Linked DNA regions of Xenopus tropicalis. The protein of the gene in region 1 purifies or fractionates together with the protein of each later gene. This does not show direct contact. Links are inferred from orthologs where the notes say so. Each region holds a gene or a part of one and is shown on either strand. Other genes may lie near its edges. The genes, in order: asph and lrrc59.

Region 1 (3,831 bases):
CCCAGTGGAGACATATTCATAATTAATAACATGACCTGAGTGTTTTCATTAAATTGGGCTTTTAGAATTATATTACATTTATGGAATTTGAGTGGAATAGCGTGCAATATACCATTTAACATTGCACTATGCACAACAGCATTAACAATAAAGTAATAAAAGCATTGAAAAAGGATGTAATTAAGTGAAAGAATATGCTTGGATACTGAGCATTCACTCTTAAAAAAATCTTTAGTCATGGTCATTGATGTATCAAACAATATTTTTTACTAGGAATACTCCAATTCAATCTTTTTAGCATTTGCCCAAACACATATATTCAGAGGTAATACTTTCCCAAAATCATAATCTACATATACAATATGATGTCCCCAAATTAAAGTAAAACTGTAACCAGCTCTCATTAGACAATATATCTTTATGGCTAGGTACGTGGCTGAATACATTTCAATATTGTTAGAAATATAGAAACTTAGTCACATTCTAGTCATTCCTATGGGATATTTTAAGTGTATTTATCAATAGGTAAAACTCACCAGTTGATAAACAGGCTTCTAAAAATGCTATAGAAATGAACAAAATGTGTATGTATTAAGCTTTAAACTCATATTTTGATAATTCTGCCCCATAGTGAAGGAAGCCCTAATCAAAGACTAATCAAATGAATACATACGAGATATGTGTTCACAAATCAATGTATGGGTTGGTTTGTGGAATATCTATTGCTTTATAGGTGCACATTTGGCAAGATACCCAAAGCATGCCAATCAAGCAAAATGCAGCTAGTTTCCCCATTTTTCACTAGGTTTTAAAGGAGAAGAAATGTCGTTTTGGCATTTTACTGCCAATAGGTTGGCCACATTAGTGCCACCTAGAACACTATATTTACTCTGCAGAAACCTTTACCATACCGGAGTAAAGAGCCCTAGAAGCTTTCTCCTTTTGTTTAAGACAGCAGCTGCCATTTTAAGTAGCTTCCAGCTACAGCTCTAGCTGTTATAGCTCAGATCACACATTCCTAAGGGATGGGAGAGGGAGTTCTCAGCATTCTTGTGGGAGGGGGGAGCAGAAGAGGGAAGAGAGGAGAGAACTGTGCAGACTCTGGCCCTGGAATGAATGATTTTTCTGAGACAGGAAGTCAGATACCCAAAGAACATGTTTACAAAAAGGGAGATAAGAAATCCTGCGTTTCTTTTGTTAGAGGACTCAGTGCAGCTTTTCTGTTAGTGCTTATGGTTGTATTTACCTTTTTGATAAAGATTACTTTGTTTTTACTATTTTTACTTTTCCTTTAAAAATAAATAAAAATTAATGTTTACAGCTGAGACTCCAAACACCAACCAAATAACTTATGCAATTTGTCAAATGTGCAAATAGACATTAGCTACTTGCTGAAGACAAAGGTTTAACTATAAAACTCAATTTCATTAGATTCCAGGCCTGCTGAGGTATGGGGGTGGGTGTAGACAGATTTTACCCTATAGTTCATACAGTCATATGGTTCAGCTGTACCAAGCCTCTGTTTAAAACAAATGTATATTGGCAATTAAAAGAAAAGTATTAACTGGTTATCCCTTGCTCCAATAATGGTAATCTGCAATTTAAGTGACAATGATAATCAGAAATGAACCAGCATTATCAGTATGGGCATGTACACTGAGAAACCTGGCAAAGAAGCTGCCGATTGTTAGGCATTAACTTTTCTTGGCACAATGTCACTGCTTGCCAAACTTATACTCACTATTTGCCCACTAATCTCAAAATCATGATTCAGCAAGTGTGCAAGCCTTTTTACACATGCTATCAATGCTAAGGATTCCATTTCTGATAAGTATCAGTAAGGAATCCAGAATATTGTAGTATTCTTTCAAGCATAATGAAATGATTCAAAATTTTAATACTGTAAGCGAGAGCACAATACTTACCAAGAACTTCTTCATAGTCTACAAGGTCAAACCACACCACAGCAACAGATGTCCAAACACCAAGGAGTGCAATCACCATAAACCATGTAAAAAAGGAGCTTCCGGACAAGCCTTCTTTCTTGCCATTTTTACCACCATTAACTGTTATAAAAGAATAAAAAACACATTTAATACATAGTTGTTTAAAAAAAATGGAAATCAAAACCTACATACTAAAGTTATTGATATACTGCATCAGACCTGCTTACGAAAGATTTCTGGAGAAGGTATAATCTATTGGCAAGTACCCAGTCTCATTAAAGAGACCCCTATTAAGAGACCTTAAAAATTTCCCCTGGTCTTTATGTACTAGCAGTACCTGAATTTGCCAGGTTCAAACCCCAGTTTGTAAAGAGTCATTTGGTAAAGGAATAACATGACAAACAGGGCATAGCCATTTATTCAGAAAGCATGTAAAAGCAAGTTGTACAGGAGAATTTTCTTTCGTGTTCAGATAAACGACACTAGCAAAACGAAACAACTATTTAAATCATTGTGAAGTAATAAAAAAGAAGCTATTTCAAGACAAATATAGCTCTTATAGTCTTATGAGGCAGAATATATGATATCCCCATACTAACAGCATGACAATTATATAATTATCTTGTATAATTTATTAATGTCCCTTTATTAGAAATGTAGAAATTACTCCAAAGACATGAAAAGGGGTATAATGGCTGGTCCAAATGAATAAAAGTACATTTCAGCATCCTGAAAATCCATTCTCAACAGAAGAAAAATGGTTCACTTCATATATGCTCTACATTTATCATGCTATAGGTGGACCATCTGACTTCAAAAAAAGCTTAACTGACCATAGAAAAAAAAAAAATCCAAAGCAGGAATGAAGCACAGATGCCGTCAAAATAAATATATTTTAAACGTATCCTCATAAAAACTTTTCACATAAGTTAATACAAAGTAATACTGTTTAGTGTTGTTTGCAATACAAAAATAATAGAGGTCCCCTAAACTGGTGCAATTTATATCTTTTACAAAGAATAAAAGCTTCATGCTGTGATAATGGGATTTAGAGCTTTACTGAATAATTTAAGGGAGCGGGCTCACTGACAAATATCTTAATGTCTATCAGAAACAGAGAAGGTCAAGTTCTGAAGCCAGCAATTCTTTGATTATTTCTGAGGCAAGAGGCTTCAACCCATACATGAAGACTTTGTGCACAGCAGGAGTTTCATAATGAGATGCTAAGCATTGGGGCATGTTTTAAAGTGTATGTATTTTTCATAATCTGAAGTATTCCCACTCATGCAGGTAGCCTCAAGCACTCGATCAGGGCTGCAGAATAAGAGGCTGGTCACAAGCACTTTTCTAACTAAAAATAAATGAGCATGCACAGGGCCATACACAGGGCAATATGAGCTTTAAAATACAAATGTGCTCGCCCTGGCCGATTGTATCTCTAATTAAGGATGACAAAGAACTCCTTCCTTGTGTTTCTGTTACAATAACATTTAAGATTAAATGTTATTTTTGTTTATTTGTTTATTTTTGTTATTTTAAGTTATATTATTGTAATGTTCCCCTTAATCAGCCTTGATGGAAAAGCAAGAGGGAGCAGAGTTGGACCTTGGAAAGGATCAGTTTAGGTAAGGGAGAATCAAGACAGAGATGAATGAGCGCTGTGTTGGAAGCAGCAATGTAGAATAAAGGAGCAACATTGGGTGTTTCAAGTTAAAACACAGCTGACATAATATCCAGAAATATCGTCATTCCTGAGAACGGAGTGCTATGGGCATGTCAAATTGTGTATTTTCACACAATACACCAACTGACCAATATACCCAAAGTTATTTCTATAATTGCCAACGGTCCTATGTACCACTGCCTTTAAAGTGGACCTGTCACC
Region 2 (2,925 bases), on another chromosome or scaffold:
AATAGGGAAAATGAACTGGGAGGAATAATTGGAATAAAGGGACTGATCACCTGTAAATTAACTTAGTAGTAACTTAATTAGTATGATTTAGAGAATGCTATTGCAATTGGTCTTTATTTTTCATTTGTAGTTTTTAAATTATTTAGTGTTTAGTAGCTTTCGAGTTGGGAATTTCAGCAGCTATCTGGTTGCTAGGGTCCAAATGACCCTAGTAACCAAGCAGTGGTCTGAAAGATTCTTGAAAAAACTACACCTTTAAAAGTGGTAGTTCACCTTTAAGTTAACTTTTAGTATATTACTAGAAAGGCTAATACTAAGCAACTTTTCAAAGGGTCTTATTTTATTTCTATATTAACTCTTTCCAGCTTTCCAATGGGGGTCACTGACCCCAGCAGTCAGAAAACTATTGCTCTGTTTGGCTACATTTTATTGTTACTGTTATTTGTTTAATTACTTAACTTTTTATTTGGGCCTTCACCTATTCATATAAAAGTCTCTTGTTCAAATCAATTGCTGGTTGCTAGAGTAATTTGGACCCTAGCAACCAGAAAACGGCTAAAATTCCATACTAGAGAGCAGCAAAATAAAGAGCTAAATAATTAAAATGCTACAAATAATAATAAATGAAGACCAATTGCATTCTTATCATACTAATCTTATAAATAACTGAGCCACAGGCAAGCCATAAACAAAACCGTATTTATTCTCGACTGCGGCAGATGGTCAGGCTGGTGCTGATGTACCAAATACACAGTATAATACATGGCAGTAACACATCGATACCATTGTGAATGACTTGAACAACCTGAAGCAGCATGGCACCTTGGGGTAGGGTGTCCGCCCTACGTGCAATGATCTTCTATTCATAGTATTAGGTTTTCTTCTGGAGACCAGCTCCACCCGTCCCTCCAAAGCACAATAGAATAAGGCCCAAAATATGGAGGTAGCTCCTCCCTTAATGGAAGGCGGGGCTCATGATTAAAAACACTTTTTTTTAGTTAACTCCTCCCCATAAGTAAAGCATGGCTCCCAAAACATGGAATTAACTCCACCCCCCCCCCCCCCCCCCCCCCCCCCCCCCCCCCTTTAGAGATTCGGGCTTCCATGGGGTCGTTCCTTTAGAAAAAGTCCATTTAACCCTTGGACATTTTCCTTTCTGAAATGTTGCAAAACCCTTTGGAACTCATAGGGATTAAAAAAAAAAAGAAAATGACATATATAGGGGAGCGGGAAACCAGCCACACCTAGGAGGGGTAGCCACCCCCTTACACACACACACACACACTCACTCTTCTTTTAATTAAACACAAATCATACATTTTTAGGAAGAACACTGATGAACAACAGGGCCGGGACCACCATAAGCCTCGACAAAAGAGACTGTAAACCCGATGGTGACTTTACAAATAGAACCGGGGGGGTGCCGAAGCCCCCCTACTTAATGCACAACTGAATTAAAATGCCCACGCTACTGTGAGGATGGGTCCTGCAGGAACCTTTCCAGCACGGGGTTACTGTGCAGAGCGCTGAGGGTCTCCTTATACACGGCATTCACACTCCTGCACACCTCGAAGGTCTTCAGATCTGTGAAGCGGCAGGCCACCACGCCCAAGAGCGCCACCATGAGTCCAAAGAGGAGGATGCAAGCAATCTTCCTCAGCCTTGACTGGCGTCGGGCCAGCTTCTTCTCCTTGGGGGTGGGCACTGGTTCTGCAAAGAGAGACACAGTCATATATAGCCTATCCTAGGGCCCCCATGTGTGGCTCAATAAGCTGCCGGCTTGGCCTGGAGAGGTAAAGTTAGTCACTTTTATTGGCCCATTTATAGCCAGATTTATTCCTAGCAGGTGGTGGTTTACCTTTAGTATGTTATAGAATGTCCTATTCCTACCACTTTTGCAATTGGTCTACATTATTTATTCATTAGAATTGTCAAATTATTTACCTTCCTCTTTAATATCTTTCTGGCTTTTTAAATGGGGGTCACTGACCCCGGTAGTGAAAAAAAACCTATTGATTTGTGAGCTTTCAATTTTATTGTTACTTTTTATTACTTATCTTTCTATCCAGATCCTCTCCTATTTAAATTCCAGTCTCTTATTCAAATGACGGCCTGGTTACTAAGGTAAACAAGACCATAGCAACCAGATAGCTGCTGAACAGAAAACTAAATAACAAAAAAAACTCAAAGAAAAAATGAAAATTGAGAACAACCCCTTTAAGACACAAAGGTTGGATATGATGGATGTAATTTTTTCAGGCAACACCATTCACCTTTAATCCCATGTTAAACTACAGTTCCTATGAGAAGACTGGGCAGTGGCTTTATATAATGCCATAGCCTTGGACACTCACTGTGGTTCTCGGAAGGTTCTTCCTCTGCTTTCTTCTTATTATTATTTAGGGCTTTCTGGGCTTCCTGCATGGCATTGTAATCCCTCCTCTTGCGCTCCTTCTGCTGCTGCTTCATCCTCTTCCTCAATTCCCTGTCCTGCTCCTCTTTAACCCTCTGCTGGGCTTCAAGTCTCTGTTTCCGATCTGCAAGTAAACCCAAGAGGTCAATATACACAGACGCGCTGACCAACGGCAGATATTCTGGTACCCCCCTGGCTTAGCGTTACCTTTATCCAACTGAAGCTTCCGCTGTAGCTCTCGCTCGTGATCAGACTGGACGCTTTTCATGTACTGTAGAACCTGCATTAAGATAAAACCAGCAAATCAGCTGCCTAAATGCCATTCCTAAATGTCATTAACAGGCGATTTATATTTTGCCATCACTTACCCCTTGGGCACACTCTTTGCACTGTTTTTCATCCAAACAATCGCCGGCTACCTTGGCCAAAGCTGGTTTCAGTGGGTTGTCCTTCAGATCCAGCCATTTCAGACTCTGCAAAGAAAATGTACATATCACAGGCTGTACCACCGG

What was found.
Region 2: the proteins of asph (region 1) and lrrc59 purify together in Homo sapiens (co-immunoprecipitation; 3 studies listed by BioGRID and IntAct, with this or other methods). This does not show direct contact. The link is inferred for Xenopus tropicalis from reciprocal best matches to the Homo sapiens genes ASPH and LRRC59.

What each region holds. Positions count from the first base shown.
Region 1 is NC_030682.2:117,494,839-117,498,669, forward strand, and holds part of asph (aspartyl/asparaginyl beta-hydroxylase), read right to left. Parts: intron 2,067-3,831; coding exon 1,926-2,066; intron 1-1,925.
Region 2 is NC_030686.2:43,888,856-43,891,780, reverse strand, and holds the end of lrrc59 (leucine-rich repeat-containing protein 59), read right to left. Parts: intron 2,887-2,925; coding exon 2,782-2,886; intron 2,694-2,781; coding exon 2,621-2,693; intron 2,538-2,620; coding exon 2,355-2,537; intron 1,711-2,354; coding exon 1,469-1,710; 3' UTR 686-1,468; downstream 1-685.